4 linked regions of the Rhinolophus ferrumequinum genome follow. The protein of the gene in region 2 interacts with the protein of the main gene of each other region in a pairwise test. Links are inferred from orthologs where the notes say so. Each region holds a gene or a part of one and is shown on either strand. Other genes may lie near its edges. The genes, in order: AMOT, PIN1, CNKSR1 and DAB1.

Region 1 (7,113 bases), on a different chromosome or scaffold from region 2:
TTAAGGAATTCTAGAGTCTGATTGATTCTTTATAAAACTACAGATAAAGCAATTCCACAAAATGAATCCTACTTCACAAACCAGAAATAAGATTTTAATTTCCAAATACAAAAGAGTATATTGAATATGAGTTTTTAAATTCCCTTCTAAAATCTTTTAAATAGGTAAAGAGATCCACAACTTTCACAGAAAAGTTACGCGATATACAAGCCTGGTCAGAGGTTTACTTCATATCTAGACTATGAAGTTAGGAAAAGCACTTTCAATTTTACATAGCCAGACCTTTCCAAAGAAAGAAGTATCTTAAAACGAAGTAGGATGTAGTGCCAGAAAGTGTCTGTAAATGACACCGGATAAGCCCATACAGAATAGCTAGAACCTGAGTGTTATCATCTCTAAATAGATGCAACTACTCTACAACCACCTGGCTATTAAAATGTCCCAGGCCATTTATAAAATGTAGTTTTGGTCAGGCCAACTTTTCCCTCCCAGTTGATCTGAAACACGATAGATAGCCTTTAAAATTGTTGCCCTGTAACCTGTAACGTCCCCTTTCCCTTCCTGCTTTCCTTTCCCCCCATCAAAATCAACCAGTGAAATTATTTAAAAATATGTCAATAATTTCTTGCCAAATAAGCAATGGGTTGGGGACATCTTGGTAATAGGTCTTTGAATACCACCATTCTTCTAAGTTTGCCATGCTTGCCCAATTGGAGATAGGTGGCACATGGGTGAAAATTTACCCTGCATCCAAATAGTGTAAGATCCAAATGGTATCTTACACTATTCTTAGCTACTAAATGAGGGTTCTGGAAGGTCTAACTGAGAAGGCTTCACAAAGGCTGGCCTGAGAAAGGACTTTGCACAAAGTCTGGTTCAAGGAGACTTAAACAACCTTAGCCCTCCATTATTAAAGATTATGGTGACTACCGTGCTTCCCTGAAAAAAAGATCTAACCGGAAAATATGCCCAGCATGATTTTTCAGGATGACATCCCCTGAACATAAGCCCTAATGCGTCTTTTGGAGCAAATCTTAATACAAGACCTGGTCTTATTTTTGGGGAAACAAGGCAATTATCTTCCTCTCTGAATGGGAGAAGAGGGTTATATTAAAACAAAATAAACTGCCTCCCAACTTCCATTCTTCTTGTGGTGGGGGTGGAAGGGAAGGGAGGAGGAAGGAGAACTAAATTAGACACTCCAAGGTGTTGGAAAATTCTTTCTAAAGTACATGCTAGAGATTAGAAATGCTGTTTCACACAAACTTTCCCTTACCTATCTCATTTGATTCTATTTAGTCCCTTGCTGCAAATTATTATTAATTATTAGTGGCAATTTACCAGGGACTGCTCACAGTCTACAAAGACTGCCACTTCCCCTCTCACTTATCCTATCGAAAATATATCAATATATATCTTCATATATCTGTAAGTCCATCTTGCTGTTGAAGCACCAACAATGACACAGGTTTAAGACCCTCAAGACATACCTGCATGATCCCACAAAACTAGTCACTAACATGTAAAGCAGATAAGGGGCAGCCTCCTCTTCAACACACCACACACACACACACACACTCACCAAAAAAGTGTAGCGTTCGTTGTAGATTACTCCCAGACTTTAAGACTTCAAGAATTCAAGGTCCCCACCCCAACCCTAAGAATTTAGGAGGAACACATCTAGCAATCTGAGATAAGCATGGACTTTCTCCTTGAGCTAAATGTAGATCTCGAGTTCCCTCAGGTCTTTAATTTCTTTTGTACTTAATTACCTAGAGACCTACTAAGACCCCGGGAGGCAAGTAAGTAAAAGTAACATCAAGTTGTGGTACCCAGTAGCATCTCCGACGGGAAAGAAGCACGCACTTTTTAACCGATTTAACTTGCTGCACATCTCGAAAAACTCATGGCCAACTGCAAAGAAAGCAGAACACACGGGCATACCCGCACGCATGTAGATCGACTCACTTATGCCGAGGGCATGATCAAGTTCATGCCACCATGGATTCCTGCCCCAGTTACCCCGCGAAAAGTAACCACGCGTCTCCTACCCCTGAAGGCAACGAAGACAAGGTGACGAGTCTCTACTCGCTCAAGTGGCTTCGGTCCCAGGCCAGAGGCCAGAGATGGGCAGGGGGAAAGCCCCAATTCCTGGGTGCTTCCTCTTCGCTGTTCCCTCCGGGATCTCCTTGGTGGCAGTGGATAGGCAGGATACCGGGCCAAAGGGTGGAGCAGCGGATAGTCGGAGACGAGACAGACTGGAGGTGGGGGTGGAGGGGGTGGTGAGAACTAACAGAAGATAAAGCCAAAGAGAGAGGAGATGGAGAAATAAATCAGGGGTCTACCAGCTTGGGCAGTCAGAAAGCTCCTCGGAAGGAAGGGGCGTGACTGCGATGAGGGCAGCTCCTGGGAAAAGGATGAGAGGTAGGGGAGGGGGGCGAATGGGTGGCTTTTCTTCTTGCGATGAGCCGCTAGGACCGCCCAGGAGCCGGGAGTGGACTAGGGAGGGGGCGGAGTAGAGAGCGGGGAAAGAAGGGAGGGGGCCTGCCTGGAGCCTGGAAGGAGAGGGCGGAAGAGAGGTGGGGCTAGAGGGCGGGGAAGTTTCAAACAATTGAATGGCGGGTCTTACCGCTCGGGCAAAGGCGGGGGGGTTCTCGCTCTGGTCCTCCCACTAACATGGCACAAATCGGTTACAGTAGCCCTGAGAATCGACGCAAGGACTGGCTGGGAGGAAGGGAAGGGTTTTACAAAGACTACAATAATAATCTACGGCAACAGCGGAGCAGAGTCGCGTGGGAGGGCCAGTGAAGCTCCCAGCCCCACAGCAGGAGGAAGAAAAACAAATAATAGAAATGCTGAAAAGCAGCTTTTTGCAAAGCCTGCTTAAAATAATGCAGGAAGGAGCAACGCTTCTTCATGTTCCTTCCCTTCTTGCTTCCTATTACCAGTAGGCCCTCACCCAGGTCGCAGCTCTGCAAGACATCCTCCTTTCTTCCTCCGCTCTCCCTAGACTCCCGCTTCCTTCCACCACACTCACATCGCAAGCCCCTACCCCTGGTGGCGGGCCGCGCTGGCAGCGGGGCTGGCGTGGGCGGGGCTGTGCGCAGCCTCCGCCCCTGGGCAGGCTGGGAGGGCCGGCCCCTGCGGAGTGGGCCCAGAAAGGGTAAATCCCATCCACTGTTCGTTTGCAACTATGGGTTGGCTAATCCCGGCCTAGGATTCGCTTACGATTGGTGACTTGCGCTGTCGATCCGATCCCACCCGCCCTCAAAATTAATAAAACTAAACAAGAGGCTATTGTCTTGCTCTCTGTTCTCCCCAGCCACTGCTGAGAAGAGAAAGCTGAGACGGTTAGCTTCTCAGTCTCCTAAGAGAGTGCGACAATGTGTCAGCAGTCTCCGGCACACCTTTATGGCACTGTCAGGTCCTCTGGGGATAGGTAACTTTTCTTCCCCTTTAATTAATTAGTCCAGGAGAGGGAAAAGTACGTGAAGTGTCAATGAGGTGTTCACATTTTCCGTTGGTGAAAAATTGATGTTGCTTAAGAACACAGAGAGTTGAGAACAGCATCCTGGTACACTGAAAATCTTCCATTTTACATCTGGGCAATGAAAGCACAGAGAAACAGTCTAAGGGTGGCAGAATAACATGGAATTTGGAGCTAAAGGAAGAACTCATATCAGGCTTTAGCACTTACCAGGGAGCTGTGTGACTTTTGTGAGGTCGCTTAACATCCCTGAGCCTTAATTTGCTTATCTAAAAAGCTATAAAACATACCCTATTACTTAATTGCACTTGTATATAAAAATAAAATGAATTGTGTGTGAAAACTGTATAAATCACAAACCACGCCCACATGTATGTATGTATGTATGTATGTATGTATGTATGTGTTCCTACTTGTGTATACTATGCCCTGGAGAGACTCACATGTGTCTGAGAATCAAATATTCTGCTCATCTGTTTTAATCATTTACATCCAAGGTGTGTAGGTTTTGTGGCTGTATTTTAGTAAGTCAACTCTTTTCCTACAGTTTTGGGGGTGGATATGAAGTTGGCTCCCTGCAGTTAGAATAAAAAATTACCCCTTTTCTAACCAGGGTGGGTGAGATTACTTTTTTAAACAGTTCTGCAGTGGCGCCACAACGGTACTGGTACTGAAAAAGTAAATCATGCTGTGTATATCTGAAGTGAACTTGAGAAAACAAATATGAGGGAACATTTACCATGGAAACCACCATTCTCTACAGATCCATATTTCCTAGAAAACATTAGAAGGAGGAAGCAAGTCTAAATATAAAGGCCTTGACAACACAGAGCTATTGTAATGAACTCATGCCAATAAAAAAAGTGACATCCAATTCAAGCCTGCCTAATGGGAGCTTTCTGAGGGGCCATGGATCAAGGCATGCAAGAAAAGTGTGCTCAAAGGGAACACTATCTCACAGTGAACAGGGTCTCAGAATATAAACACACACACACACACACACACACACACACACAAACACACAGGAAAAGTGGTGAGTAGGTGCCATATTGTAGGGTAGCCTCAGTGTGTAGAGCACTCTACTAGGGCTGCTGAAAGATTCAGAAGCCGGAGCATGGACAAAATGGATTCTTGGTATAATTCTATATATGTGTGAGGTGAAGTTATTCCGGTGAGTTTTCATGGAGAAGGTGAGATTGTGAGCGTTAAAGACATGGAGACACCTGGTTTGTGAATCAAGGGAAGATTATTCCTGCCTTGCTATTTGGAGTGAGGAGGTGGACAGCGGAGTTAGATAGGATGAGTATATGCTACAGACTACTGTTGATCACAATGGCAACAGGATACTTGTTAACAACGCTATTAAAATGGAAAGAGTAAAATATGAACAGGGTTAAATTAAAACAGTACTGAAAGGAATACAGAGTTCCTCTCCATCACTCCATTCTCATAGTCCCTTTCTCCCTTTCTCTCTATGCCTGTGTGTAATCTTCAAAATATATTATGTCTCTTAAATATCCATCCATCTCAGGATAACTTCCTTTACCTTATTCTTTGTCGTGATAGCTCAGTGTTCCATTACACAGATGTGCAAAAATTATTTTACCCATTCCCCTTTTGAGGTGATTTTGGCCATTTTCCATCTTTTGCCATCACAGAAAATACTGGCAAACAAATCCTAGTACAAAGGCCTGGAGGCTGTGTCTCTAGGATGCCTGCCCCTAACCTTGAAGTTGCAATCAAAAGACTTTTCCAACTACACTTCCCCACAGCTATGGGGGACTTTCATACAATGGAAACCCTTAAAACACTTAATTCCCCCTCCTCAAATTCTGCCTTGGATATTATTCTTCTCCAAATTTAAGTTTTGGTGGAGTAGAATGAGCACAGCTCTGAAATTGATGGTCGATCACGTGTGTGATTCACTTCTTAGCCTGTGGCAAACAACAGGTTTTTTCGTACCTGTGCTTTGCCCAGATCTCTAAGCTTAGGTATTCCTTATTTCCTGCCTAGCAAGAGTTCATTTTGTTTCTACCCTGAAAACTCTTTGGTTTGTTTAAACTGAGTTTGAATTTAAAGCTATGCTTTACCAGCCCTACTTAAAAGGAAGGGGGAGGGGAGGCCAACATCAACAAACATCGATAGAGTTGCTATTGTGGACAAGAATGAAAAAACAGAGGGATGAGACTTGGCTCCTACCTTCAAGGGTATATACAGAAAAAGACAACTAACAAGCATATGCTAAGTGCTAGTTCCAGAGTGAGTTTATGCAGCAAAGTATGCCACACACATTTAACTAACCCCCAGAGCATCCCCATGTCCTCATATCCTGACAATAAGATATGGAGAAGCCTCTGGGGGATACCAGAATTAACCAGCAACTATAAAACACCTGTATAAAGACACTGGGTTGTTTAAGTACATTGAGAACCTCCACTTATCAATAATGGATATAATGATCATTTTAAGCTTAGAAGTCAAGTCTCCATCCCAAATGATCTGTCCTGTTGGCCTTGTTTTCAATGAAATGTAACTCCTCCTTTAACATGCAGTAAAAATCAATGTCTATGCTCTAAAATAAGTCAATGAAAAAATCAATGTCTCCCTTAAAAACATTATGCTAAGAAGCCAGACACAAAAGGACAAATATTGTATGATTGTACTTATCTGAGATACTTAGAATAGGCAAATTCATAGAGACAGAAAGTAACATAGGGGCTATCAGGCCTGAGGACTGGGAGGAATGGGGAGTTACTGTTTAATGAGCACAGTTTCTGTTTGATATGATGAAAAATTTCTAGAAATAGTGGTGATGGTTGTATAACATTTTGAATGTACTTCATGCCACTGAATTGTACACTTAAAATGGTAAATAAATTTTATGTTATGTATATTTTACAACAATAAAAAAATTAATGGTAAAAATCCTCAGGCTCGGTGTCAGGTGATAAGACCAAGATGTAGGCTGCCAAGAAGGCAGGACCCATGTAAAGGGGTAGCTTTCCCATGGTCAGCACCGTGGGAAATGCAGGCCCAATGTGGCCAGGACTTCGATTTTTCAAGAGAAACCAGACCAGAAATCAAATATTTTAATGGAAAATCTCCTGGTTCCTAATTTTGGCAACTAAAAAAATCTTTAAAAAGTCTGCCCTTTGCATGCAATATTTTTGCTCAATGTACAGGAAAAGTTAAGAAGGAGGATGCGGCTTACAGTCTATTCCTCAATCCCTGGCTAAATTCTTCTAGAAGAAAAGACCATAAAACCATAGTGCTTTCTATTGAATTACTTTCTCCCCCACCCACCAAGCCAACTGCAAGTGTGAAATGAGCACATCTTCCTCTAATTGCCTGGTGAACAACTAAATCATTTAAATGCATTTAGAAACAAAAGCACATACATTAGGGAAAATAAATCCTAAGGATTTATGGTTCCACATAACTCTCTCCTTCCCTCCCCCAAAAAACACCCGACAAATATATCAGACAAACACTGAAAAGCAGCCTTTCATGGGACACCTCCTAAAGTCAGTCTATTTATTCACAAAGATACTAGCCCTTCTCATGCAGAAATGAGCTCATCAGAAAATAGCAGCTTTATCTGAATGGGAAAGGAACAAAGGGACACG
Region 2 (7,008 bases):
CATACTGTCTATGGCTGTTATATTACAAAGCAGAATTGACAGAGACTGTATGGCCCACAAAATCTAAAATATTTACCATCTGGCCTTTTAAGAAAAAGGTTACCAACTGCTGCTCTAGACTGTGGAGAAAACACAAAACAAAGCAAGGAACAGCCCCCTGTCTTGGGGCAGAATTAACTTATAACTGCTGGCTAGTTCTGTGCTGCTACTTTTCCAACCTCCCTCCCCCTCCCCCTTCTTCCAGACCCACCCACACATGTGCCACAGAAACCTGCTTGATGATATTATCATCAATAGCTCCGACTGACTGAGGGCCCACTGTGCTTCATGCACTGTCTCATCCCACTGAATTTTCACAACAGCCCTCAGAGGTGCCCATTTTATAGACAATATATGACGCTGCCCATTTTATAACAAAAACTGAGTCTCATGGAGGTGACTTGAATCCCCAAGGTCATGGAGGTTACAGGGCAACATAGCTACCCTCTTAACCTGGGTCTGCCAGGCTCCAAGGCTGGGTCCTACCGTCCCTAGTGGGAAGAGGTGGCCATCTGGGCCAGGCTCATGTCACATATAGGCATTTCTGTGTTGGCCAACGCCACACCTGACAGCTGAGCAAGTGGGATGGAGGGTCTGGTGTGATTTGTACAAGGCCCACTCTGGCCCCTGGAGGGGGAGAGGTACCAACCGCCCTGCCCCCCAGAGCCCATCTCCAGCCCTGCTCACTGTTGATCAGCTCCAGGGCCTCCTCCTTGGTCCGGGTAATCTTCTCCTGCCTCCAGGACGAAGGCCTCCGTGACTGGCTGTGCTTGACCAGCAGGTGTGAGCAGCGAACCCTCGTAGGTTCCCCCTGTCCATTTTTGCCACCGCCACTGCTGTTGCCACTTGGACGCTCCCACTGGCTGGCGTTAGTGATGTGATTGAAGTAGTACACCCGGCCTGAAGGGAGAGGAGGCAGGAATTCAGCTGGGACCTGCTCATAGGCCAGGATAAGGAACTGGTCTATGAGATGCCATCATTCAGCAAATCCACTGTGTCCACCACGTGCCACAAGCCCTTAGGGAGCTAACATTCTAGGTGCCGGCAAATGAGACAACAGGATAACTTCAGTCACTGATAACTTTGAATAACCCAGGGTGACAGTAGAGAGGAAGCCAGGGTGGGGGAGACGGAGTGGTTCAAAGCATGCACTCAGCAGCCAGACTGCCTGTTCAAATCTGCCTCTGCTACTTACTCACTGTATGATCTACCTTCCCCAGGCCTCGGTTTTCTCACCTGTAAAACGGACACAACAGCGCCTGCTTGTTGGGCCATTGTAAGGACTAAATGAGTTCTTATCTGTAAAGTGCTCAGGATAGCTCCTGGCACACATTAAGAGTGTGATAGCTATGATTATATTCCTTTTATAGATGACAAAACTAGGTATGTTTCCTGAGTGTTCAGTGGGCTCCAGGCACAACTGCGCCCAGGCGTGTCAGACACCAAAGCTCAGCTCTCTTCCCCTACAGCGTACTGTGCTGCACCAAGGGGCCAGCATTACTGGGGGCCAGACGTTAGGCAGGGACTGAGCAGCATGGAGCGAACACGGCACACAAGAAGCCTGAAGAGGGACCTAGGAGAGACGGGGTATCATTCCACAAAACCAGTTTGCCTGGGTTACATGGAGGACTTGTGCCCAGCACCGTGAAGGGTTGAATGTCACCCCTGAGGAGGGCTGTCAGGGTTGAGCAGAGCAGGAATGGCAGGAGTTGGGGCCCAGAGTTGGACAGTGCATCAGTTTTATGCTGCAGGCCATAGCCACAGGCCAGGGCTGAGGCAGGGTGGGAGAGAGCGGAACCCACGACGGCCTCTAAAACCTTGGCAGTGGGCTCTAGTTCTCCCAACCTCAGTGTTCTCAGCTGAAAAGTGGCAGTGAAGTGAGACAATCAGACTTTATGGGGTTGGTGCAAGTGGAGAGAAAATGATGATGTATGCAAAGTGCTCACCAGAGTGCCTGGCGTTCAATAAACCAGAATTATTACTGCGACTTTGACTGCTATGGGCAATGGAGGCAGTGGAATGAGAGCGGGGCCTGCTTCTCAGCAGTTTGCAGTGACAAGGGCAGGGGCCTCTGGAGACAAACTGGGTTCTAACCTCACACTCAGCCCCCACCCCCTGAAATGAATGACCTTGGGCGAGTTCCTTAAGTTTTCTGGCGTCAGTTTCCTCACCTGCAAGATAGGGGTAATGACTACCAACCTCCAGGAGATGTGGCCATTCAGTGACAGAAAACACTTAAAACGCCCGGCATAATGCTCGACGCTGATAAAAGTGCCCTGGTGTTGCCATTACTGTACATGTGCCTTAAATCGGGCCCCAGCACGGGGGCCGTCCTCGGGCAGAATTTCACCATAGGCTCAGCATTAGGTGTGGATGGCACGCGTGTTAGCAGTAGGTTGGGGATGTGAGGCCGGGCAACTCTAGGGCCACGCCCTGAGCATGGGTTTAGAGGGTCTCCTCCCCCAGGGGTGCCCCCGGGCCCAGCGGGGTGCACAGACGTTTCCCCGCGACGTCAGGTGCATTAGGCCGAAAAGTGTCAGCCCGGTCGGCAGGACCAAGACCATCCCTCGGAGGAGTGCCGTAGGATCACCGGCCCCTTCCCCCCGTTTCCCCCACAGGGCCCTAGGCTTTCCCGGTCCCATCCCCGCCTTAGTTTCCTTCGGTTTCCTGGCTCCTGAGGCTCAAAGCCTCCACAGGGCGGGCCGGGGCCGTTACCCTAGACGATTCGGAGGAGCCAAGATCCCATGGAAATCGGACAACTACACCGCGCCCAAGAGGCGAGCTCGAGCCCTGCTTCCACAGGCCCGCGCGGCCCCGCCCCAGCCCCGACCCCCGCTGCACCTGAGCTGCGGCTCATGCGCTTCTCCCAGCCGGGCGGTAGCTTCTCCTCATCCGCCATCTTCCCTCCTGCCGCAGCGCCCGCTCCGCCTCCGCCGCACCGCCTCTGCCGCCCGCCCACCGCCGCCACCGATTGGCTAGGCCTGCCTTGCACCAGGGCCTGGAGACGACGCTCACTGGGCACTCCAACTGTCCGGACTGGACTTCTGGCTTTCTATTGCACAGAAGCGACAGTGGGCGGATCCTCCCCACATTTACCTGGGTCCCGGTCCCCCCCTAGTCGGCCTCACCCGACCCCGCCCCCTTCCTCTCCTGGTCCTGTAAGTGGTGGGGAAGGGATATACTCCCGCCTTCTCAAAGCCCTTTGGCGAGCTTCAAAGAAGTCCCAACTCCTCCTTTGCGTCCTTCGCCACAGAGCCCATCCGATTGGCTACTGCAGCAGCAATTCTCGCCTTCCTCAGCCGTTTCCGGAGGGCCGCAGCCCCCTATACGGAAGTGTCTGGCTGGTGTGGAGGTAACGGTAGCTGACGAGGTACTTGGGAGAAGAGATGCTGGCTTTGCTGTTGCCACAGCAACGCAGTTGCCTTGGTGATGAGCAGCTAAGCACCAGAAGCCTAAATTTGGCTCTTCCATCCTCCCTCTTCCCATCTCTTTCCTCCAGATGTCCCAAGCTAACCCATCCCCTTTTATTTTTTTTGTGCAAGTCTAACCCTTTCCCTCTACCAATGACCCAAACACCTTCTACTTTCTTTGGAACCTACTTACATCACTTATTCCCTCCAAAGCTGTCTCTTGCCTCTATCCTGGTGACTGGTGGGTGATGGCATTGCCACTCAGAGAGGGACACAGAAGGGGGCAAGCGTGGGAGGATGAGTTCAGTTTGATTCTATTTAAAATGGAGTCTGTGGCACCCATGGGGCACTGAGGAGGTGGTGGGGGACCCAGGGCTGGAGATAGCTATGGAAGTCAAAGATTACCAACAGGGAAGAGTTCAATTACAGTTCATCTATAGCACTGACCCTCATATGACTTAGAAAGAATGAGGCGCAGTGACATAAAACACAGGGAAACATGTTCACGAGAAAGTAGAGACAGGATGCGGTAGAAGGCTAAGAGCACTCAGGAGACGGATTACTTGTTTGAAGCCTGGCTCTACCATTTACCATGACCTTGAACAAATTACTTAACCTCTGCTGTTCAGCTTTACCATCTGCAAAATGAGGATAAGAAATGAAATATATTTCATATATACCTTTGATGTAAAGATCAAATGAGTTAATTTATATAAAGCACTCAAACAGTGCCTGGCCTATACATAGCAAGAATGTGTTTGCTGGGCAAAAAAAAGCAAATCATAGTACAGCATAGCAATTGATAGTACATAGAAAAGCATAACAAAAACCAACAAATAAAATTGCTTTAAAAGAATGACATCGTTTATAGAAAGATATCAAAGATAAAAAGCAAGCTGCTGAACAGTATCAGTATGTAGAGTATGTATTATTAATTGAAAAGTGTAAAAACTATAGGTTTATATCATAGAGAATTTCTGGATTCATTCAAATACGATAATGGCTGCCACGTGATGCAGGTGAAGAAATGAGCAACTTAGATTTTAATATGATTTTCATTTTTTTTTACAAGCACATGTTAGCATAATCCTTTTTGAAAAATATGTTAGACTTAGTATAGAATATAGTTTCATATGCCCTTCACCCAGACTTCCCTTATATTAGCATTGTACATAGTAAAGGAACATGTTCTCAACCAGGGGTGGTTTCGTTCCCCAGGGAACATTTGGTAATGTCTTCAGACATTTTTGGTTGTCACAAGTCGGGGGAGAGAAATGCTACTGGCATGTAATGGGTAAAGGCCAAGGATGCTGTTAAACATCCTATAATGCACAGCCGCCACAACAAAGAATTATCCAGCCCCAAATGCCAACAGTGCCAAAGCTGAGAAACTCTGCCATAGAGTAATTATCAAAACTAAGAAATCAACTTTGGTATAATACTATTAACTAGACTTGCATCCACATTGTCATGTCTCCTTCGTCTCCTCCAGTATGTGACAGTTTTTAGGTTTTTCCTTGTCTTGCACGATCTTGATACTTTTGAAGAGTAGAACTGGCCTTCATTCTGATGTTTTGTCATGGTGGGGTTTGTCAGTATTTTCTCATGATTCGATTGAAGTTATTGGGAAGGGTACCCCAGAGTCGTCGTGCCCTTCTCAGTGCATCATACCAGGTGATCGACGGTGTTGCAGTGTATTCCTGGTTACATTAGGGTATCTATTGCTGCATAACAGATTACCCCACAATTTAGGGGAGTAACATTTTATTTTCTGTTTCTATGTGTCAGGAATCCAGGCAGTTTAGCTGGTGTCAGCAGGGGTAGCCGTGGTCTAATCTGAAGGTTTGACTGGGGCAGGATCTATTTCCAGGCTTGCTCATGTGGCTGCTGGCAGGATTCAGTTGCTAACAAGATGTACTGAGGACCACAGTTCCTCACTGGCTATTGGCTGGCGGCCTCTCCAAAACATGGCAGCTGGCTTTCATCAATGAGCAAGTGAGCAAGCAAGACAGAATCCAGTCTCTTTGCAACCTTATCTCCGAAGTGATAGTGCACCACTTTTGCCATGTCCTATTTCTTAGAAGCGAGGTCTAGCCTATACTCAAGAGGAAGGGATTACACAAGGGTGTGAATACCAGAATGGGGGGATCGTTAGGGGCCATCTTACAGGCTGCCTGCCACACTTGGCAATATTAACTTTGATCACTTGGTCTAGGCAGTTTCTAAAGTTACTATTGTAATGAATAAATACTTTTGAGGAGATACTTTGAGAGTGTGCAAATATCCTACTTCTGCTTAAACTTTTACCCACCGAGTTTAGCATTTATCAGTGCATCTTGCCTACAGCAATTATTACTATGGTATGCCAATGGTGGATGATTTCTTATTTCCTCTAATCGTCTACGTTTATTAATTGAAATCCTTTTGTAATGACGAGTTGCCCCTTCTCCATTTATTTATATATTCAGTTATTTATTGATATGATCATGGGCTCAAGGGTATTTATTCTTTGGGTTATAGTCCAATACTATCGTTATTTTGTTGCTCAAGTTGTTCCAAATTTGGTTACTGGGAGCTCTTTCATAGGCTGGCTTCTGTGCTCTTTCCATGTTTCCATCCTTTTAATTGAGCACTTCCTACTTCCTGACACCACAAGATGCTCCACGCTTAGCTTGTATTTTCCCTGCCCTGGCTCTTGAACCAATCACTTTTCCAAGAAGCCCTAGTTCCTTTTATTGGAGAATGTTATTTAAGAACCAGATATTAGCATAGACATCTTTTAAAAACCAAATTGAAGTTTATAAAAATACATTAGAAAAGGTCTGACCTCAGCAGAGAGAATCGGGTGAGGAAAGGGGTTTTACTTTTAGCATGTACTTTTCTAGGCTGATTTGAAATTAATAAGGGATTACCTTGTCAAGTCCCTCGTGTAGTTAAAAAAAAAATTGTTGGGTTTGTTTTTCTAACAGACAGTAAGGGGCGAGATTGAGCTGTAAATGCAGTAAGGGCCAGGGTACCAGGAAACAGACATGTCTGACATGTCAGGAGGAAGTGGAGTCCTAGGGACAGGAGGGAAGCCAACAGATAGGTAGGGAGGTGAGTAATGGGAGACCAAAGAGAGACCATTCTCAATGGGCTACAGGCCAGCAGCCCCCAGACAGCTGGCAGGTGCAGCTGCCAAGAAGCTTGGTGGTAGTAAGAAACAAATAAACAACAAAAAAAAGCTTGGTAGTGAAGGGAAGGCAGAAGGCTGGGGGGACTTTGGGGGAAGGGAAGGGTCAGTGGACTACACTCGACTGTGTTTGTGAACCGAGGACAGGGCAGGTCAATACAAGAGAGGGGAGAAGGGATGGAGCCAGGTTGTGGGTGAAGCTCTTGAGAACGGCTCCAGAATGCCGCTCTGGGAAAGGACAGGGCCAAGGTCAACCCCAGGGTCTGTGGCTAGGGGAACAGAGATGGAGTGTTTGGCGTCGTCTGCTCACACATGGGAGAAGGCTGGAGACACCTAATAGCACTATTTATCAGACATCGTGTTATTTTAACTGCATTATCTCACTGA
Region 3 (7,559 bases), on a different chromosome or scaffold from region 2:
CCTGAGGAGGCCAAGGATAAGAAGGATCCCCTCACCAGTCACCCCAGCCCGGGCCTGAGAGGAGCCTGAGGTACCTGTTGAGCCAGAAGAGGAGGGTACGGGCGTCATGCACCAGATTCACAGCAGCGCTGAGGACCTCAGCAGGGGGCTCGGCACAGCCTCCCAGGCGGCCTTGGACTAAGCTCTGGAAAGCACAGGTCCCCTTCAGCAGCACCTCTGTCAGGCTCTGCAGGTTCTCTGTCTGTAGCCCGGAGCTCTGTGCCAGAGAGGGGGCAGGTCACTCCCTGGGAGCGGCCCGCCCATCAGCAACCTCCAGTGTGGCCACCATTCACTCACCAGGGCCTTGAGCTGTTCTACCCCTTCCAGAATGAGCTCCTGGTGGCCCAGAGGCCACACTGTCAGAGCCTCAAGGCTGCTGGGGCAGAGCTGGAGCAGGTATTTGCCAGGCAGCTCCCAGTCCTCAAAGCAATAGTCCTGCAGGGAGTCATCGAGGCCTGGAAGGACAGCAGGGGTCGGCATGAAGGGAGCCAGGGAGTGTCATAGCGTTTCTGGCCCCTTCTTCACTCCCGCAAAGCCCTTTTCCCTCCCATCTGTTCCTAATGACAACCCTGAGACCTAAACTGTGTTCTGCCCATTGACAGATGAGGGCACTGAGTTGAGAAGTAGAATAGTTTAGGGCAGTGGATCTCAAAAGGTGGTCCCGCGAGCAGCAGCAGCAGCAGCCTTACTGGAGAGCTAGTTAGAAATACAAATCCTTAGCCCCACCATATACTTCAGGGGTAGGGCCCAGCAGTCAACATTTTAATAAATCCTCCACGTGTTCTGATGCTCGTTTCTCTAAGAACTTCTGAATAGGGAGTCAGAGCATGGGGCTTTGGGGTCAGGGAGATCCAGCACTTAAGCAAATAACTTAATTGCTTTGTGCCTCAGTTTTCTGTAAAATGGGAATAAAAGCACCTACCTTCTAATCATGTGTGTATAAATGACATGATACATGTCAAACAGTTGGCCCATTTCCAGGTTCATGGTTGACAGTCAATAACAGCCACCATGTTATTATTGCCAGACTTTTTACTATGATCCACAAGGCCCGGTATGATCAGGCTGCCACCTGCCTCTCCAGTCTCATCTCTTGGCACAGCCCCTCCAACTCAACACTTCAGATCCAGAGCATGAATTCCCTGCAGCTCCTGGCATGTTCTTTTGCCTCAAGGTCGTTGCAGGTGCTATTCCTTCTGCCTGCACTGCTCTTCCAGCTCCTTTACTCCCTTTTTCATCTAACTCTCTCCAGGAAGTGTTCCACAACACCCCAGGCTGGGTAGGGGGCCTCTCCTCTTTTCACTGTCCCCTGTGCCTCCACAAACCTCTGCATTTGAACATCAACCTCTCCCAATTTATCAAGAGCTCTTCAAGGAAGGACCACACCTTAAATAACTGCTCATCTCTAATTCCAGCCCATGCCTGGCACAAGGTAGGCCCTCCAAAATAAGAAAAGTACCTAGTGAATGTGTGAAATTTTAAGGGCTTTAAACATATGCACACATTTGATCCTTACTGAATCTAGAAAGTAGAGACTATTGTTATCCCATTTCACAGATGGGAAAACTGATACAAATAGAGGTTAACCGTTAGCTTGCTCACTCTTTGAAGGAGTTCCAAGCCAGGTTTCATCACTGTGGAACCTGTGTGTGATCAACAGCTCTCTCTCATTCCCTGTGTGACATTTAGAGCACTGGACAGGCGTTCATGAACCTGTTACTTCATGGCTATGGCCCTCGAGAAACTTTTCCCATGTACAGTGAATGTTCTGTGCTGCCTTCTTCGGACCCCGACATTGAGTTAGACATCCTAGGCACTTGTCATGATTGTTTCATTTTGTCCACTTCATGACACCAGAGTTGCTAGTCTCATTTTATGGGTAGGGAAACTGAGACCTATGGTCACAGAGCTGGTGAATGAGGGAGCAGGGCCTGGAATCCTTTCTGGGAGTCTGAATCTAGCTCTGAATCTCTGCTTTTGTGGGGGCTGGTCACCCCGAGAGTGCCCCCAGTGTACTCCCACTGCCCCTGCACTCCGTCTCTCCCTCTAGGAGGAAGTCTTGACTCACCTCTCCCCTCCCACCTGCATGTCAGACGTCTTCTCTGAGTCTCTCCCGGCCAGCTGTCTAGACCTTTCCCACCCATCTGGGCTCACTGAACCTGGGGGGCATCTCCCCTGGAGGGCCCTACGGGGAGGGGGAAGGGTCTGTGTCAACCCCTTCAGTCTGGCTGAGGCTTCTGCTTCACACACTGGGAGACTGGGGGTGGGAAGAAGAGAAATAGGGCAGGCCCCATTACAAAGCCAGAGCAAATTACTTCCTGGCTCAGTGCGTCAGTTTCCGCTTCTGAAAAATGGGTTTAATAACAGCCCTCTACACCCTGGAGCGGAGGGAAGATTAAGGAGATAAAGTAGGCGTGGGACGCTCTGGGGCCGTCCCCTCTGTTTTCATTACACCCACCGCCTCCCCATCGCCACCCTGGCTGCCTCTTGGGGCGATGGGAGACCCTTTCTGGGTCCTCGGGGTCATCTCGTCTATCCTTCTGCCTAGCACAGTACCCGATTCATGGCAGACATTTATAAATACTTGTTGACAGACTAACCAACTGACAGCCTCAGCAGGTCCTTTTTCCTTCACCTCTTCCCGCCCCAGTGACCCTCAAGCCCAGTTCTGTCCCGGTCCCACCCACCTCTCAGCCATGCTGCCACCTTCCCGGGGGTCCAGGTCGCTACTGGCTCCATGGCCTAGTCCGCCCGCTGGGATTGACGCCCGCTCCGTCCCGCCGGCGCAGGAATTTCCGCTCCCAGAGCCCAGGGCTGGGGAGGGACCGGGCTGGGCCCTGGGCGGAGCGACCAGCATACCTGGGCTCACGTAGCTGACCAGGTGAGGCGCTGAGACAGCCATTGGCCTACGGCCTGCCTGCCTCCTGCCCCGCCCTTCAGGCATCTCCGAGCAGCTAGAAGGCTTGACCTGGGGGCGGTACCACTGGTGTGTGACCCACGTGACCTCAGAGCCGGCCTGGGATCCCGCCCCAAACTGGCCTCAAATCACAGGGCGGGACTTTGACCTTCAGGATCCTCAAAAAGGGGCTGAAAGGTGAGCAGTGAGCGCAGCAGCAAAGCACAGAGGTTAGGGAGCCAGAGCCCTGGGTGCAAAGGGTGCAAATCACAGCTCTACAGCTTGCTAGCTGTGGGACTGGGCGCTAACCTACCCATCGTGCATCAGTTTCCCTGTCTGTAAAATGGGCTGCTGGAAAGAATACCGGAGTTAATAGCTCAAAACCTTTAGAACAGGGATTTTTAGCCCCTCTTTTTTTGTATCATGGACGCTTTTGGCAGTCTGGTGAAACCTCTGGGCCGTTTCTTAGAATAATGCTTTTAAATTTTTAAAACAAAGTGCTGAAGATTGCATGGAGGATAATTAGTATAAAGATGTTAAAAATACAAAGCTATGATATAGTAGTATGTTTATTAGCATTAAGTAACAAGACTGGCAGGTTAGTTATATATTTTTAACAACATCAGTATGCTGTCACTCAGCTAGAAGAACACTAAAACTGAGGGGTGGTCTTTGATTCACCTTCTGGAATGTATTGATCAGGAAACGACTAAAGAGAGAATGCAGGGGAGTAGTGGAGGAGCCTGGATTACTGGTGTGAGAACAGGTGGAATCACCATTTGGTCAGAGACCCTCTACTGGGCACAGAGGTGCCAAATCAATGGCAACTATATTGCAGGAGTGTCTAAAACAGTGCGATTTAACAGTGGGTTAATAACTCATGATTTTGCAATAGTTATGAGCATAAACAGTATTTTGAGATATTTGCAATAATTACAATTTAATATAAAAATATCTGTGATTTCTATTGGGGACAAAGCCACAGAACTGCTAATACTTCAATACATATGGAATGGCAAATTTTGAGTATAAAAGTTAGTGAAAAAATACATATTTTTCCCATCCAAGTTTATGGGCCCCCTGAATGCTGAAGCCCAGGTTAAGAGCCTTCCTCTTTGAACGTCTGAAACATAGTTTGCAGTTAGCAGCAGCAGCAGCTGCCCCAGCTAGGGGACTCCCAGGACTTTGGAATTAGAATCAGTTCCACTTGCTGTGTGACGAGCCTGAGCCCTACCCCTCTCTGAACCTGTTTCTTCCTCTCTAAAGGAGGACACCTAGACCTTAGTGCTATGAGGAGGTCCTTTAAGTATCCTGAAATATGTAACATGGGGTAGAGCTGAGTTATTGCTTTAATTCTATGGAGAGGGCCCTGTGTCACCTAGTTTGAAATCTTTACCAGTGCCCCAAAACCTGGTCTCCAAAGCCTGTCACTATTTTGTCTGTAACCAAGACCTAAAGTCTGAATTTGGCCCACAGATGCCCAAGTATTGTGTGTATGTTAGTTGTCATTTAATAATTTCACATACAAATTGAGCTTTCTGGAACTTGGCCAGCTCTGCTGACCCCGTCGCACCTTCACACGTGGCATCAAACACAAGTGCAGATCAGCGGCTGCTTCCTTCAAAGGGAACTCCAGCTCACCAGGTCCCTGCAGGCCTGGCTCCTTCATTTGTGAACCATCAGGCTCCAGATTTGCAACATGGCCCTCACCTCTCTGGCTTCATCCTTTGCCTCATATCCTCATACCCTGCACTGTGTGTGTCCTCTCCAACCCTCCTCCATGCTGAGTCCCTCTGTAATGTTTTTGCCTTTTTCTTCCTTCAACAGTGTCCCTGTGCCAGTCTGGGAAAACCCACTACACCAGGGGTGTCCCAACTTTTTTCAACGTTTTTCACCAAGGGCCATATGCAGTAAAATACACAAACAGCCGGGCCACTCACTCGAGGTGAAGTACGTATTGCCTCGCCTGGTTTATTTAAGTAAACTAAATATATTTTTCGAATTTGCTGCGGGCCAATAAAAAATGGATTGTGGGCCGCAGTTGGCCCGCGGGCCGCAGTTTGGACACCCCTGCACTACACAGACGTGTCTCCACCATCCTGATGTCATCAAACACCTACTCTGAGCTGGCACAAGATATAGAGGTAAGAAGCCAGCCAGCCTCTGCCTTCCCTGGACTCACAATCCTGTAGGGGAACAGACAAAAACTAGCCACTTGTACTCATGTACTCCCCTAGAAGCACTGGGGGCCTAACAACCATAAGAGTGTCTTTACTCTGTATTCCCAGCATCTAGAACTAGGCAGTTAGGGGCACAGTAAATGGCAGCTTCTTTTTTGAAGGTAGTTTTATGAGTTTACAAAAGTGTTTTCTACATACTTGCTGTAAAAATTTCAAAGGTCATTACATAACAGTAGGCTATTAAGTGAAACGAGGACGTGTCCTTTTCCCAGCATGTTCTTATCCCGTTCCTCAGTGGGAGCCACTATTAAGTTTTCTGGGTGTTCTTCCATTCTCTCTATATTCAGATACTCTACATACTATTCTGCATACTAGGCCTTTCTTTTCATTTCATGAGACAATCAATGCCAAATGAAATAATGTAATACACATAAAGTATTTAGAATAGAGCTCAGCACAGTCAGCTACTATTTTTTTTAGCACATTATAGACAGCTTCCTTAAACAGTATAGGCAAATCTTTTATTATCCCCAAGCTGAGGGTAGGAAAGTCCCTGCAGGAACTCGATCTTGGGGAAAAGGGTGATGATATGTGTCCTCTCCATAGGTAGGGGTGGTTAATCTATCCAAAACCAAGTGAAAAGGCATACAGCTGTTTGGAAGAAGGGGATCGGGTTAAGGTACCCTCCCTGTCCTTTGCTGCGAGCTGATTGGTGACATCCAATCATCAGAGGAAGGGATAGGGCTGGGACCAGGGCTGCAGAAGCCCTCCCAGTACCTGATCCAGGCCTGAGACTCCTGAGCCCTGCCAGGCAAGGCTTCCCTCGCCTACCCAGCCTGGCCGACTGGGTAGGTGGGGGAGGTGCTGCTCAGGCCTGATGCTGATCTCTCCTGACAGCTGCTCCAAAGGCTGGCAGGGCAGGCAGGTGGGGGAAGGGACCAGATTTAAAGGTCTAGCTGCCCTGTCCCTTGCCAGACGTGAGGCAGACACTGGTGAGCATCTTCTGAGGGCATGGCGCTCATGCATATGAGAGGTCAGAAACCTCTATGCCCTGATTTTCACTTCTTGGTACTATGAACACCACTGGTCCTCATTCCTGCTTCCACTCCACAGGATGCTAGGGAGACTAGTGGCACCCAGCATGCGATTTCGACACCTGACCCCTGGCTACTTCCGGGTGCTACAGGTAAGTACCCCTAACCAATGGCTTTTGATACCGACCCCTTTCTCCCCCTACCATGGCTAGGTTGTCGCCTCCAACAGCCAAGCCAGGCTGTCACGTTCCCTGCTGCCTGAGCAGCCAGAGCCCAGATGGGCAGTGAAGCGAAAGGAATTGGAGTGGAATCTCCCTAGGGCAGCAATGACAGCCACACCTCCTTCACCCAGCTGTACCTTCTGAGCCCTTTCCCACCCCCACCCCCCAACCTTCCTTGAAGTCTCAACTGACCCCTCAGGTGGACCCTCTGTACATTCACAGATGCAGGTAGCTGGGGAACTGAAGGCAGAGCCCAGGAATCCACTGCCTGGGATTGCGGCTACACTGCTGGCTGTCCTCGGGCTGGGTGGCTCCTGCTATGCTGTCTGGAAGATGGTGGAGCAACAGCCGCCACCACAGGCCCCATGATGAAGTGGGCAGCCTCTCACTTGGGCCCTTGGGGGTAGGTAACTCATCAGGGGCTGGAATCTTGGGACTGTCTTCATTGGAAGCAGGACAGTATAAACCAGATCCTACTCCCCACTCCTCCCCACTGCACCTGGGCTCCACCTGGGGGCTCCAGCTCGGATGTCAGGACCCCTGTGGGAAGGCAAGTTTTCAAAGCTGGACCAAGTGGGAAAGAGACACCGTGGGCCCTGTCACAAGAGTAGCAGAGAAACCCTTACAGGGCAGGAGTTTGGGATGGGGGTTGCCTGGAAGTTAGGGAGTCAGAAGCAAGCCCTCTTTATCCAGTTCCTTTATTCAAGGGGGAAGGCACTCAGAAGAGGCCATCCACTCCCCAAACCCAGGGCCAAAAGAGGTTGGCACAGACTCTCCCAGCCTAGCCCTGCATCACTGTCCATGGGCAGCTCCTCTGCCTTGCATCCTCAGGCCGTGTCAGGTAGATGTGTCCATCTCAGGGACCTCAGTGGATACTTCTGTGGGCACTGCCAGCCGCTGGGGGGGCACATAGGAACCCATACCTGCTGCCCTCTCGGCCTCTTCCTGACTGTAGGGCTCCACGCCCAGCTGCTTTAGCCTGGGTGAAAGAAAAGGAGTTGTGAGCTGACCAGATGCGAGCCCTGTCCGCCTGGCACCCATCTATCAATCATCTCCTTATTTCTTCATACCTTTTCTTGTGGTCTTTGGATCGGAAGTGGGTCTTCAGGTTGGCAGAATCGATGAAGTACCTCCTGTAGCGATGGGGGGTTGGAGGAGAGGGAGGAGATGATTGATGCCTCTCAGTTAC
Region 4 (7,185 bases), on a different chromosome or scaffold from region 2:
TTTATTCAGATTTTATTGTTGAATACAATGAACATGATTAAATGTTTCAGATATGCCTATTCAGACCTTAAGCAAACCACCAAAAAAAAAAAAAAAGAAAGAAAGAAAGAAATGAAAAACTACTAAAAATCATCTTCTAAATCTGTTTGGGGAAGAGCTTTAATTGCCAACTTGATGTGAAGGACTGAATTCCCACTTGATAGGCACTGTTCCCAAGAAGATAGTAACAACACGTTTGCACTTCCCACCTCAGCCTCTTCTCTCATCCCTGCTGATCCTCTCCGAGTTGCCAAATAGTTACAAGGTCAGTCTTTCAAATCACTGCATTTTGAACTTCCTAAACCTTTGAGAGGGCCTCTGTGTATGGAAAAGAACAATAGCACTTCCAAAGCCATGTCTGGGAGTTCTTCAAAACTCCATTTGAATGCTGGGGTTTCAATCAAAGACATCAGCAATTTCTGATTGCTTAGAAGTTGACTTTTATACAGCTTTGATTAGGTCGCCCTTCTCAATAGGAAATCAAGAAAATCTCTGATCCCTTTTAGATTCCAGAATTGTCTCCAAGCCTTGTCAGGATAGGAAGTGAAAGAGCCGGAGGGGCTGGGGCAGGGGCGGTGGAGCTCGCTCCTCGTCACGCAATCTCTCCCCTCCTGCACATCTATCTTCAAGCCTGGGCAATTCTGGGTTCCGTCCAGAATCACGCACCACTGAGATAATAAAAACAATGGGTGCTAATTCAGGGGGTGGGGATGGTTTACCACGTTATGGCTTTCCTGAAGACCTATCATTGGCACATAAATGTACAAACGTGAACCCAATAATCAGGGGGTTCTGAATGTAAGCTACCTTCATATGATTACTTGAAAAAATGTTAAGTATTATGAAGTGTCAGCGGAACCCCCACAAGGCCTTTATTCAAAACCATCAACATTGCGAAAGTACTTCGAAATGGCCAGTAGGAGGGGAGCAGAAGGGAGGAACAAGCGACAGAGGATCCTCCTGCGGTCCCGGCAACTCGCTATAGAGGACGGCACTGTAGCATCCATTTCGGAGGACTCGCTGGCCCACCCAGCTCCGGGGCAGCAAAAGGCCCGCTGGCTTCCGCAAGCTTTCCACTCGCCCATCTTTCTAAAGGAGCTAAGCTCAGGCGTGCGCCAGCATCCAAACGCACCCGCAGGCACCCACCTCCGTGGGCACGCACCCCACCCTCGCCGACACACGCCGGAGCACACAGATGCCCGCGACGCGGCGCTCTCAGCTCCTCCTCCACCGCCAAGCCTCCAGCGAATGCCAGACTGCTGTCGCCAAGCGCCCCGGGCTTCCCCACCCCCATCCCATTCCTTTAGACTCTCCCAGCCCAGGCGGAAGTGCCCAGGCGAACCCCCAACAATGAGGACTTGTGTGATGCAGTTGGGGGTGGACGGGGAGCTTACAGGGAGTAGAACGTACACAGTCTGGCGGGGTCGGGAGGGAGCTGTGCAGGAGCGAAGTGGCATCAGCCTCTGGCAGCAGCCTTCCCTGGTGCCCTCCGCCTCCCAACCCTGCACCATCCCGCGTCCGGTCCACCACCCACACAAAGGCGTTTTAACAGGAGCAGAAAAAAGATGCGCCCTCCCACCAGGGGTCATAATGGTACTCTGCAGGACGAAGGCAGACGGGAAGGAGAGTCCGGGCTACAGTAACCACAGCGGTTTTGAAATTTACTTTGTACGCTCATCCCAAAACCCCTTTCCGACGGCGCGACACAAACTCCCCTCATCTCTGACTCCCTGACTCCAGGTTTTCTTGGCGACTGAGTCCTCCTTTTAGGGCTTCCTTAAGAGCCAAATCTTGAGGATTTAAAGTTTCCCCAGTAGGAAAAAGAAAGAAAAAGAAAAGAATTAGAAGAAGAAGAAAGAAAACCCTGAGCTCTGCATCCGAGGCAGAGCATGGAGTCTAGAGCATAGAAAAGCAAGAGGTGCGGGTTGGGGAGGCAACCTATTGGGGTGGCAGGGCGCCTGGGGAGTGGAACGGAGGGGAGGAAAACGATGGAGAGCCCGGCCGGTGGAGGACCCGGGGAAGGGCTGGAGTCAGAGGCGACGCGGGCTCTAGCTCTGACTGCTGTCTGCGAAAGCGTAGGGGTTCCTGGGATACATCCGATTTTTCCACAGGTCGGGGCAGAACCGCAGCGCGCAGAGGAGTAGGGAAGTGAAAACTGGGTTTGGCTGAGTAAGAAAGAGGATCCAGCCCCGGGACGCCGCCAGCGAAGCAGGGAGAAGGACTCGAGAAAACCGGGTAGCTTTTGGAGTGGGAGAACGAAGGTCCGTGGTTGGGTAGAGACTGGAGCGTAGAAGGAAGGAGGTTGCAAGGGGTCCTGGAGACAGACAAGTATTTGGGGTGAGGTCTGGAGAGGGGACCGCGAGTGGTCAGAAGTAGGGAGATTGTGGGTTATGGTGGAGACGCAGAAAGAAGGCTCAGAGGTTGCCCCTTTCCCCAGCAACTGGAGGGAGCGGGCGGAAAACTGCAGTCGCTGTCCCCGCGGTACCCCTAACCAAACTCCTGAGAGGGGTGCCCTGGGTGTCCCCGCGCCTTGTGCCCACCGGGCAACTGCCCGCTCTGAACTCCTGTCCTCACGGAACTCCTGCCGCCGCCGCACCTCACCTCGGCTCGCCGCGAGCATCCTCCGCCGCTGCCGCAGCCGCGCGGGAAGCGGCTCCCCATGCCCGGCGGGCGGCAGCACTCAGGCACGCTCTCCAGCCCGGGGAAGCCCCGGCGATCACGGAGCTGGGTCCATCCTCCCCGAGAGCCACGGCCCCGCGTCAGAGCAGGGGGAGGAGACCGCCCTGTGTGCAGACCCGCCTCCTCCTGCAGCCCCAGCCCCTCCTGCCCCACGCCCACGGGGCGCCCGTGGGCGCTGCTCACCTGCTGGCAACCCAGCCGCCGCCTCCGGGGTGCCCGCCGCGCGCCCCTTGTCCCAGCCTTGCGGCTCCTGCTCTCGCTCCCGCCCGGCGCTCTCTGCGCTGCCCGAGCGCGCTCCGAGGGTTTAGCCGAGTCGCGGTGGCGACGAGGAGGAGGAAGAGCGAGCCAGCGAGCGAGCGGGGGCGCCGCGGTTCGCCGTGGCGCCTCTGGGGCCCTTGCACTCACTCCCCAGCCCGGCGTGGAGGGGGAGAGCGGAGCAGAGAGCACAGGGTACCCAACCCCGGCTGTGCCAGCGGAGAGCGCGTGGGGGAGAGAAGGAGAGAAAACTACCGGACTCGGGTTTCAGAAAGTATCCAGTGTTTTCGCCACCATGACCACCACCACCACCAGCTGCAGCCCTCGCCCGGCCTCCCTCATTTTTATCTAGGGCTACTCTTTTATCCAAACCTCTAAACATAGGCACACCCAAATACAAAGAGCGCCAGTGGGTGAGAACTAGAATTGAGGTTCGGCAAGGACATGTAGCCCCCACGCAGGAGGGGGCGCTAACTCCCAGCGGCCAAATGTGGTTTGGCAGCTCTGGTCTTCGCTGAAACTTCCCACGCAAAGTTGATAGAGGAGAGGGTTGCATCTGTCACGTTTTCATCAGTCCAGGGACTCAGGCAACTGAAAGTATGCAGGCCCCAGGTAAACCCCAACTCGCCCCTTCCTACCCAGCCTCCCCACTCCTTTTCTTAAAATTCCTAGGAGAGGAGGAGTCTCAGATTAGAACATGCTTGGGAGAATACCCCAGCTTCCTACTTCTGGTCCTGGTTTACAAAAATTCAGTAAGTGGCAGAAAATATTGTGTCGGTCTGGAAATTTTTCTATCCTGAGACTGGATTCAACTCCAGTAAATGCTTGTTGTGGTATATTGGCCTCCAGAGGGCAAAATGCCAGGTGTGGGAGGAAACAAATCAGATCAAGTGCTGACCCATTGGAGCAGGTCATGGAAAAGGAAGAGTCAGGAAACTGTCCTTCAAAAAGTTTATTTTTATCCTTTGTAGGGGCCACACTTCCTGTCCTCCAGCTGTGTAATAATAAAGCTAATGTGGTGGATTTGAGTTTTGTTTTTTTTCCCTTATAGCTTCTGTCACTCACCCATGAAAATTTAATGAAGCATTTAGGGTTATTACCTCTAGAGTCAATGGGCTAAAAATATTTAGCCTAATGCAATCCTTGTGGAGCCAATAGGTCTGTGGCTTGTACATCCAAAGTCATCGAGAGACCCTCCTTTTCACCACAAAATTCACGACCCATTAAACTTATTCCGTAATAACAGCTTCTGTACAAATGGAGGCCCCAGTGTATGGAGGCTGTCATGCACCTCCTGAAAAGATAGCAATTTACACAGAGACAAGAAAAACGTGTGAGGTCATTGGCAGGATACAATCTAGGGGAAATAGTTGATCAGAGGACACTCCCAGCAAGGTGGGAGGCAGGTGCCCCCTTGATATAACTGTTTCTACTGACTCCTGGGTATGACCAGCAAATCTAATGGTGGGGACCACAAAACTGGCTCAAGTCTCTCCGGCTTTTTCAATGTTCTAGAGAGTGGCAAGAGTTACTATTGAACACTTAAGATTCATTTAGTAGGAAGTTCAGGCTCTCCAGCCAACTCTAATAAGATTAATAAAAGACTTCAGGTTCCTACTCTGTAAAGACAGACATCGGGAATCTGAACTCAATACAAAAAAAACAGAAATAAAAACAAAAACACCAGGGAACACAGACCAATCAAGAAGACTTGGTTGAAATAAAAGGAAAGAGTATAGAAAACTATTACGCACTTCAGGTGGCTGGGGCAAATGTCAAACTTTAGATTATCAAACAGAGGTCGAACTTTTCATTGACTCTACCAAAAAAAACAAACAAACAAAAATCCAAAGTTTCTCCATGCTTCAGTGGATAGCCAGGGAACATAAAAACCATTTACATCCATTTTAATATCCCACATGTAAGAGTTGTTGCGATCATCCCTCTTCTACCTTGTTCTGTTTTCAATTGACATCATGATAACAGACACTGAAGGGAGTGTGGAACACTGAGTTGGAAGAGTAATAGAAATGGAAAAGGCTCATGTAAAACTCTATTTCTATTCAGTGCTGGACATGGTCCACTATGGAAACTGGGCAAATTCCCATTAAATCCAACAGGGGCAACAAGCTGCAGCTGTTCTCAACTCCAGGCTGGAAGAAAGCATAATATGTAGATTCTAACTGCACACAGCTGCCCAAGGACCTAATAGTCTTTTGGGTTAAGCCAAGCCGAATTTTGAAGTAGTACTATTTTAACTTATGCTAAACATGTCAAATAACAAGTCATCTCAAATTTACGGTATTTTTTCTTCTCATTTAAATAACAAGGCCATTTGTATTAAGTTTTGCATATGAAAAAAAATCCATATGCTTTCTTCTACCATCTACTCTGAGAAACAACAAAGTAATGAGTACAGCAAAGATGTATATATTGCTTATTATGTTTCAGGCACCCTTCTGGGTCCTTTCCATATCTTAATCATTTAGCCTTCGTGCTAACCCAGTGAGAGAGGTACTCTCATGGTGTGTACTGGATAGAATACAGACTGGAAGCTGATGGGCCTGCATCAACTTTGACAAGTTACTTACCTCTCTGAACTTCTAAATTCTACAATGGTGATACCTACTTCGTGAGACACGTACTTCATGAGATTGCCGTGAGCCTTAAATGAGATAATGCATTGGACATGGTGGGAACAGAATAAGTCACACACTATGCATTGGTTCTCTTTCCAGAATTCCAAACTAGTTAATTTTAAGTCAACAACAACATTTATGGAGTCCATTCTATGCATCAGGCACTGTGCTAGGCATTGGACATAATGATGATAAATCAGAAACAGATCCTGCTTTTGAGAAGCTCAGTGTCAACTGAATAAAAAACATGGGCATGGATAGCATGCAGATGGCAAAAGGAGTTTTATTGAATTCTCATAATTCATCCTTATGCACTTGATTCTCAAGATACTCAGAAGGGCTGCCTATTTAACTGCTGTTTGAAACTGACCCATCACTGAAAGCAAAACCAAATGTCAGAAATCTTAAATCCCACTGGCAATAACTCATCCGAAGAAAGCAATGCAAAGTAGCCTGTTTTGTGTATTCTATATGATTTAAAATTCTCTTTATTCCTACATTTGTTTCAAATATACCTTCCATTGGATGGAGTATAATAAAATGAATTTGTGCTGTAAGCGCTGGGAGTTTCAAACACAAATTATTATATAGCCACCATTTATTAAATAGTTTAAGTGCTTGCATATGCCAGGAATATGCTAATATTTCTATACACATAAAGCTCTCAAATTAATAAAAAATTAATGTTCAGAAGGAACATTTTTACAAAGCTTATTAGAGACATCATGTGTTCAAAATATACTAACATATAGAACACAGAAAATTTCAAAGGTTAATACCAAAGGTGTAAGTTTCTCACAGTCCCTTTCATTCAAAGTCATGTTCAAACTCAGATTGTATTCTATTCACTTATTCAAAAAATATTTACTGATCACTTACTCTATACCAGACATAATGTCAGGCATGAGCAGAAGATAAAAGCAAAACAAAAATCTTACTCTCCAACAAGCCATAGCCACATGAAGGAAACATGTCATCATGTTGCACTGCGATCAGTGCTATCCGTGATAATGCTAAGTACAGGATTTTAGCGGCACATCCAATAGGGGTATTTAACCCAGGGTAGGATGTTAAGAAGACCTCACAAAAGAAGTTGTATCACCCTGAAAGATAAGGAGTAACCGGATGAAGAAGGGAAGGGTATTTCAGGCAAAGAAAAGAGAATGTGCAAAAGCACAGAAGAAATTATTCTCTGGGGGATGAGACTGTAGTTGACTCTAGAAAAACAGCATAAACAAATAGGAAGGGGTCTGGCTTGCCATGTTCAAGACTTTTGAATTTAGTGTGAAAATAAAGGGGTCCAGTTTTGAAAAAAGCAGGAAAAATATTTTGCAAACCTTACATTATCCACATTTCAGACACTTTTCTTCTCTGCTGTAGAAACAAGTAAACTATCCAATTTCTATTTCTCTTCTGAGGTCAAAAAAGCAATGAAAAAAAATTTCTATGTGGCTTCATCAAAACAGAAGATCCCTTCTTTTATGATACTGGCCTTGCTTGATTCCAGGGAAAGGTTGTTTGGCAGTATTACTAAACTTGACTCTGGTTTACAGTCACTATAAATAACAGTCCT

Evidence for each region.
Region 1: the proteins of PIN1 (region 2) and AMOT interact in binary tests that used the Homo sapiens proteins (3 or more experiments, as listed by UniProt). The two-hybrid records come from large-scale screens. The link is inferred for Rhinolophus ferrumequinum from reciprocal best matches to the Homo sapiens genes PIN1 and AMOT.
Region 3: the proteins of PIN1 (region 2) and CNKSR1 interact in binary tests that used the Homo sapiens proteins (3 or more experiments, as listed by UniProt). The two-hybrid records come from large-scale screens. The link is inferred for Rhinolophus ferrumequinum from reciprocal best matches to the Homo sapiens genes PIN1 and CNKSR1.
Region 4: the proteins of PIN1 (region 2) and DAB1 interact in binary tests that used the Homo sapiens proteins (3 or more experiments, as listed by UniProt). The two-hybrid records come from large-scale screens. The link is inferred for Rhinolophus ferrumequinum from reciprocal best matches to the Homo sapiens genes PIN1 and DAB1.

The regions. Positions count from the first base shown.
Region 1 is NC_046284.1:41,286,949-41,294,061, reverse strand, and holds the start of AMOT (angiomotin), read right to left. Parts: upstream 3,020-7,113; 5' UTR 2,960-3,019; intron 2,471-2,959; exon of another isoform or gene 2,052-2,470; intron 1-2,051.
Region 2 is NC_046301.1:40,249,495-40,256,502, forward strand, and holds the start of PIN1 (peptidyl-prolyl cis-trans isomerase NIMA-interacting 1), read right to left. Parts: upstream 3,024-7,008; 5' UTR 2,939-3,023; coding exon 2,881-2,938; intron 940-2,880; coding exon 727-939; intron 1-726. UniProt on the Homo sapiens protein: Peptidyl-prolyl cis/trans isomerase (PPIase) that binds to and isomerizes specific phosphorylated Ser/Thr-Pro (pSer/Thr-Pro) motifs.
Region 3 is NC_046292.1:17,924,275-17,931,833, reverse strand, and holds the start of CNKSR1 (connector enhancer of kinase suppressor of ras 1), read right to left. Parts: upstream 3,005-7,559; 5' UTR 2,984-3,004; coding exon 2,899-2,983; intron 2,854-2,898; exon of another isoform or gene 2,779-2,853; coding exon of another isoform or gene 2,727-2,778; intron 495-2,726; coding exon 337-494; intron 257-336; coding exon 75-256; intron 1-74. Other genes in the region: ZNF593 (zinc finger protein 593), read right to left, coding at 7,208-7,349, 7,441-7,503. UniProt on the Homo sapiens protein: May function as an adapter protein or regulator of Ras signaling pathways.
Region 4 is NC_046292.1:41,418,853-41,426,037, forward strand, and holds the start of DAB1 (disabled homolog 1), read right to left. Parts: upstream 3,011-7,185; 5' UTR 2,902-3,010; intron 2,754-2,901; exon of another isoform or gene 2,641-2,753; intron 1-2,640. UniProt on the Homo sapiens protein: Signaling adapter of the reelin-mediated signaling pathway, which regulates the migration and differentiation of postmitotic neurons during brain development.